2 linked regions of the Tribolium castaneum genome follow. The protein of the gene in region 1 binds, or shares a complex with, the protein of each later gene. Links are inferred from orthologs where the notes say so. Each region holds a gene or a part of one and is shown on either strand. Other genes may lie near its edges. The genes, in order: NiPp1 and splicing factor C9orf78.

Evidence for each region.
Region 2: NiPp1 (region 1) and splicing factor C9orf78 share a complex: the UniProt entries of both Homo sapiens proteins name them as parts of the spliceosome. The link is inferred for Tribolium castaneum from reciprocal best matches to the Homo sapiens genes PPP1R8 and C9orf78.

What each region holds. Positions count from the first base shown.
Region 1 is NC_087396.1:21,737,617-21,741,244, forward strand, and holds NiPp1 (nuclear inhibitor of protein phosphatase 1), read left to right. Parts: upstream 1-1,544; 5' UTR 1,545-1,771; coding exon 1,772-1,800; intron 1,801-1,923; coding exon 1,924-2,138; intron 2,139-2,206; coding exon 2,207-2,424; intron 2,425-2,481; coding exon 2,482-3,033; 3' UTR 3,034-3,101; downstream 3,102-3,628. Other genes in the region: EGF-like domain-containing protein 2, read left to right, coding at 1-1,167; Aprt (adenine phosphoribosyltransferase), read right to left, coding at 3,250-3,628. UniProt on the Homo sapiens protein: Inhibitor subunit of the major nuclear protein phosphatase-1 (PP-1). It has RNA-binding activity but does not cleave RNA and may target PP-1 to RNA-associated substrates. May also be involved in pre-mRNA splicing.
Region 2 is NC_087394.1:36,667,995-36,671,236, forward strand, and holds splicing factor C9orf78, read left to right. Parts: upstream 1-1,694; coding exon 1,695-1,834; intron 1,835-1,882; coding exon 1,883-2,496; intron 2,497-2,545; coding exon 2,546-2,691; 3' UTR 2,692-2,735; downstream 2,736-3,242. Other genes in the region: casein kinase II subunit alpha, read right to left, coding at 335-1,385, 1,429-1,484. UniProt on the Homo sapiens protein: Plays a role in pre-mRNA splicing by promoting usage of the upstream 3'-splice site at alternative NAGNAG splice sites; these are sites featuring alternative acceptor motifs separated by only a few nucleotides. May also modulate exon inclusion events.

The sequences.
Region 1 (3,628 bases):
ATAACAACCGAAGCCACGCCCTCGCCCGAGGATAACAACATAGTGCCAACCACGCGGCCTGGACCCACGGAAATCCCCCAAACGCCACAGCCAGGCGTACCAACTGATGAGGATTTGAAACACCCGCCACATATTCACGCAATTGATGTCGAGTGCGCCAAAGACATGATGACCATCACGATTGAATTTAACCGCGAGTTCAATGGAGTGATTTACTCCAAAGGCTACTACAACATGCCTGAATGTCGCTACGTGAACGAAAATTCCGAAATGACGAAATACCGCTTCACCGTCAGTTTGAACTCTTGTGGGACTGAATTTATCAACGCGTTTGATACTCAAGGACAGTCGTACCTGGAGAACGTCCTCGTGATCCAAAACGAGCAAGGGATCCAGGAGGTTTGGGACACAATCAGAGCTGTGAGGTGCCTCTGGGAGGGCAACCTGAAGGACTCCCTCAGCGTGGCGCTCAGCGTGGGGATGCTAAGCCAGGAGATTGTGACTTTCAGTGGGGACACCGCCATGGCCAAGCTGGACATCCAACTGGGCAAAGGCCCATTCGCGCCCCCGGCCAACGGTTTGGTCAAAATCGGGGAGCAAATGACCCTTGTTATCTCCGTGACCGGAGACCCCGGTTTTGACATCCAAGTCAAAGACTGCAGGGCTACGGACTCGACCGGCGACCGCGTGTACCCCCTAACCGACGAAAACGGCTGTATTCTCAAACCCAAACTATTTGGCGCGTTCCAAAAAACACGAAACACGGGAAATACCGGCGCTTCCATCATTGCCTACGCGTTTTTCAACGCTTTTAAATTCCCAGATGTGATGGATTTGATGATTCAGTGCAACATTGAGCTTTGCAAAACCGACTGTCAGGTGTGTCCAGAGCCCAACCAGCAAATCGAGCCTGGGAGGAGGCGCAAACGTGACCTTTCGTACTATAATAACACTGACGGGGTCACAATGGGGAAGCACCTGAGGGTCGTTTTGGCGGAGGATTTGAACGATATTGGCAATACTGAGGCCGCGTTTGAGGGGGAAGTTTGTATGACGACGCAGAATTTTCTACTAGTTTCGGCGATTTTGATCTCGCTACTCACTGCCAGTAGTGTACTAAGTGCTTGTCTCTGGTTGAAGAACCAACGGATTGCTCACAAAGGGTGACAACTTTACCACAATCCTGCCAATGTAGTTCCGTCCATTAAGTTATTGTGACTCCAGTATTTTATTTAAGTTTTTTAATTATCGTAGGCCCATATTTATGTAAATACTTGACTAATAAAGTAAGAATTTTGTAGCGTGGGGTTTTCTTTTATCAAGGTTGACGACAACGACAGACTAAATTTGTTTAATAAAAAAGCATAATTTTTTTGTATGGGACTTTATTGATTGAAATTTACATAATTTGAGGCGTAAAACTAGTAAATCATTACGATTCATTGTAAGCGATTAGTTCATAATACATATAAACGAAAAAAAAAAATGGTCTGGGTCAGGGTTTGAACCCATAACTTTTGAGTTGGTGTTGATCAGTTGATGATTCCTCGGTCATAAGCACTTTCGTACTACATAATAGCAGGTTTTCTCAAATCAATGCGGTGCCAAATCGGTACAAAAAGTTTAAAACAGTGATTTTATAACAAACAAACGATGGGCTTATTATTTGGGTGCGTTTTAATGTCGTTAGATTGACAAATAACGAGGTTGTTTTATTCGGCCTTGTGCAACTTCGGACGTAGCGTTATGTCACCTGCCAAAAAAGCGACAAATGGCAAACCATTATGAGGTGCCAAATTGGTAAATAATCCTTGAAAAATTGTGTTATTGGCCCCTGAACCCCTCACTTATCATTTCGCCCCCTTTTCTGTCACACAATCCACAAATCGTGTGTTTTTGTGTGTTGAGGTTATGCTGTTTCAGGGCAGGCAAGCCCCCCGTGGGTTTGCATTTGGACGTGCTAAAGGGCGACAAACTAATACAAAAATTGATGATCGACGACAAAAAGTGTTACTTATTTGGACGCAACGCCCAAATGAACGATTTCTGCATCGATCACGCGTCATGTTCGCGGGTTCATGCAGCCCTCGTTTGGCACAAACACTTAGATCGGGCGTTTCTGGTGGATTTGGGGAGCAGTAAGTGTCACGTGTGCGCAACTTAGGGCTTTTTTGTGTCAAGACTTGGATAATTTGCGTTGTTTTAGCCCATGGCACCTTCATAGGATCATTAAGACTTGAGGCGTATAAACCCACTCAGTTGCCTATTGATTCTAGTTTTCACTTTGGGGCGTCCACGCGAAATTACACGATCAGGGAGCGGCCCCAGACGGGCATGCGGCCGATCATTGACGAGATCGAAAAGGCGGGCGAGGAGACCGAGGGCGGATTGCTGGGGCTCCCCGAGACCGAAACGGAACTCGATGTAAACCACCCCAACCAGCGAAGCTGAGAGCTTTACAAAAAATATTTTTTTCCATAGAATTTGACGGAATTTAACACCGCCCACAACCGGCGGATATCAATGCTGGGAATCACCGACGACACGGAAAAACGCAACACCAACCGGAAGCGCAAACGCCAAGTCGTTTCCTTCAACGAGGACGAAGAGATCATAAACCCTGAAGATGTGGACCCGAGTATCGGTAAATTCCGAAACTTGGTCCAAACCACCGTTGTACCTTCAACCATCAAGAGGGCCAAATTCGCGGCTGAGAATATCGGAATCCCCACTGAATACAAAAATCCCAAAATCCTTCATCCCTCCGCCCCCGATTTGTACACAGACCTGCCCCCCGAATCCCACTCTCCAACCAGTTCAGGGAATTTAAGCATTTACAGTTCGTTAAGTTCACGCCTTGGAATGGTTTTACCCAATCCGGCGCCAGATGTCGACATGGGACAGAACTTCGCCCCGCCCACTCCCTTTGTCCCGCCCCAAGTACAAATTGCGGACGCCATGGAGCCCAAGAAAAAGAAGTATGCCAAGGAGGCGTGGCCTGGCAAGAAGCCCACGCAAACGCTATTGGTCTAGGATTAGGTGTAAGCTTTTGATGTAATTTTCTCAAGGTCATAGATTAAATATTCAATAAAAAACGAAAAGTAGTTTCTTTTATCGAAAAACATGGCGAAATAATTTCTGAATTCTGGGAAACAGTTTCAAACTAACACCAACTTGACAAAAATAGGTTTTTTATTTCACTACTTGATGGAATGCAAGGCACTCTCGATTGAAATATCAATCAAAAAATTAATATTTAATAATGGACAATACCTCTGCTGGCACCTTCTCCCGGCCTTTGAGCCCCTCGAGCTCCATTAGAACGAGACACCCTGCGACTTCGCCACCTGCCCCTCGCACGAGCTGGCAGGCAGCCCCTAGACTGCCCCCCGTGGCTAACAAATCGTCCACAAGCAGGACGCGTTGCCCCTTACTTATGCTATTTTCCTGAATTTCAACAGTGTCATGACCGTACTCGAGAGCATACTGCGCCGACAAAATTTTCCCCGGTAGTTTACCCTTTTTCCGAATTGGAACGAAAGGTATGTTCAAATCAATCGCCATCAACGGCCCCAAGAGAAACCCCCGAGCATCCAATCCCACGATACATTCAGCCGGGGGCTCAATT
Region 2 (3,242 bases), on another chromosome or scaffold:
ATAATTTTGTATTCAAAAAACTTGCTGATTTTTTGAAATTTAAGTGGAATTACTGTGATTTATAAAAGAATAAGCAGGAGAAACAAAACTTAGTACAAATGATTCATTAATTTTTTCAAAATTTTTATTAATGTATGGAAAAAAATCAACGCAACGTAACTACGATGCGTCAGACTAAATTATACCAAGCCCCTGTGGCCTAATGGATAAGGCATCGGCCTCCTAAGCCGGGGACTGTGGGTTCGAGTCCCACCAGGGGTACTCCTTTTTTTTCTTACATTATTGAAAAAAATAAACCAAAAACACAAAAATATTTTATTCTATACATTTACAATCAATGAACCGCTTGCCCCGACCCTGAAACCTTGAGCTTATCCAACCCTGGCAAAGCCCCCGAGCTTCTCACCGGCCCGAAATACTTATGCCCCAAGGCCTCCTGAGCCGTACATCTTTCCATGTGATCATAACAAAGCAACGATTCCAAAAAATCAAAGGCATTCTGATTCACTAAATGCTCATTCTCCGTATTGACAAATCTCTGCCAGGGTTTTTTCGAGTGAATCCCCAACATCTCCTGCATGCTACCTTCCAGCACAATGTTGTATTTATTCAAATAAGAGTAAAACTTGCTCGTGCCCAACACTTTAACAATGCAATACAGTTGGTTGCGGTTATCAAATCCTTGGAAGAAAGGTTCTTTACGGAAGATCATTGCGGCAAAAACGCACCCAAGCGACCACAAGTCGAGGGAATAGTCGTAATAACCGTACTCTACCAACAATTCCGGGCCTTTGTAATGCCGAGACGCCACCCGGACGTTGTAACGTTCTCCGGGACGGTAAAACTCAGCCAAACCGAAATCAATCAACCGGATTTTGCGATTTTTCCGGTCAATTATGATATTGTGCGGCTTGACGTCACGATGCATTATGCCCTTGCTGTGACAGAAATCAAGGGCTTTCAAAATTTCGTAAATGTAAAACCGGATATCGGAATCACTCAATTTCAAATAAACCTCCTTAAAGTCCTCATTATTTGACGGGGATTCGAAAATCAGGGCGTGCAAAGCTGTGGAAGGCACCGACACCACGGCATATAAACTCACAATGTTGGGGCCGTTCCTCAAGTGCTCCAAAATTTTAATTTCACGTTTGATTTTCGGTTTTTTGATCGGTTTTAGCAACTTGACCACGACCGAATCGTTAGTACCATCGTGCACCCCCTCGAACACTAGACTGTACTTCCCTTGACCGATTTTCCGAATCAAACTGTAATTGTTGATATCGTCAGTCGGGGGGTTGTAGTTGTCGTACTCAAAGTAGGAAGAGGGCTTGTTTGAGAACACGTCCGAGTATACCCGTGATGTTGTAACAACAACGCTACGACTAATTTGTGTTATTTTGGTAATTTTAGGCCTAAAACACTTACGGTGTGTCGTCCAAATCCATTTTTGGCACAAATTTTTTGAAATCTTTTTTTGACATTTGAAATTTAAACGGGGTGCTTACTTGTCACTAAACGACAAAACGAAAATCCCTAACCCGATTAAGCGAAAAACACAATTGTGGCTTTAATTTAATGGTGCCACACGAATTATGAATTATTTTGTGTTTTGTGAGCCAGTCTCGAGTGTCTTGTGGTGGTTTTGGTCGTTTTTGGTGTAGTTATTGGGGCGTCATAACCTCAAATTCGTCATGTCAACAAGTGGGATTAAAACCGAATCTAACGATTCAAATGACTCGAAACCCGTTTTTAAACGTAAAAACCGTAAACAGCTGCGCCAAAGGCGCCCCTCGGATGGTAGTGACCGAGAGGAGGACCTGGAGGAGGTCAGGTAACAAGACCCCCTTCACTGTGGTGCCTCCCCTAACGTTGCTTTTAGCACCAAACTAGAAGAAATGAAGGAGTTACAAAACTTGCGTAAGCGCCCCCATGGAGTCAACGCCTTGGGGCTAGCCCTAGGTACCAAAATCACCATCGAGGACGAGTGCATTTCAAAGGACCCTTTCAAGGTGAAGTCCGGCGGCATGGTCAACATGCAAGCCCTTAAAAGCGGCAAAGTCAAGCAAGTCGATGATGCGTACGACACTGGCATAGGGACCCAGTTTTCGGTCGAGACGAATAAACGTGACGAAGACGAGGAAATGATGAAGTTTATTGAAGAAGAGTTGTCGAAGAAGAAGCGCAAGGTCGAGCCCCAGGAGCAGGCCGAGGCTGAGAACAAGTCGGCGTACACCAGCCCCGAGGAGGCGGCTTTGAGGGCAGTCCCGGACCATTTGAGGGAGTCGTCGACGAAGAGGTCGGAGGAGATGTTGTCCAATCAGATGTTGAATGGGATTCCGGAAGTGGACCTGGGGATTGAGGCCAAGATTAAGAATATTGAAGCTACGGAAGAGGCGAAGTTGAGGCTGCTGTGGGAGAAGCAGAATAAGAAGGACGGGCCTTCGCCTTTTGTGCCGACGAATATGGCGGTGAATTTTGTGCAGCACAATCGATGTGAGTTGGCAGAACTGCTCATATTTGGAGTTTTTTACTTTTTTTACAGTTAATATAGACGCAGAGGTTGCTAAAAAGAAGGCCAAGTTGGATGATAAAGTGGAGGAGGCTACGGAAAAGCCGAAGAAAAAGGATGAGAGGGCCACCGATGATTATCACTACGAAAAGTTCAAAAAACAATTTAGGAGATATTAGCCTTTTGTAGTGTTTTTTATTTTTGAATAAATTATTTATTTTGATTTGTTTTTATTTCTTTTAAAAATCCGAGCAAATAATCACTGTGTTGTTTTGAAATTCATAACTCAAAAACTAAAAGTCGTAGAGCAATGCGGTTTGTTCCATTGGATTCAGCGGCTTTTTTTCTCTATTATACTAATTTTTCACGCAATTTAAAATTTTCAATTTTTTTTGCTCAAATTTCCTGAGTACCTTCAAGAGGTGAAACAAAAATTTTTTTTTAACTAACTCTAGGAACTTTTTATGGACTCCTACATGTCTTAACAACCCACAAAAGTTGTTAAAAGTCCACAAAAAGTCCAAATGTTCGATTTTTTGATGTTTGATTTTTTCAATTTTCGTCGCAGTTTTTGTCGATTTTGGGTACCCGGAACATTTGTCGAGCAATAGCTCCGGAACTATTAGAGATAACCCCATGAAGTGTATTATCGTTGGAAAGCTCTTTAAATTATCTATTTTTTTCAAAAAAGATTATTGTTCTCCGACTAATAGTTTTCGAGCAAATTGCT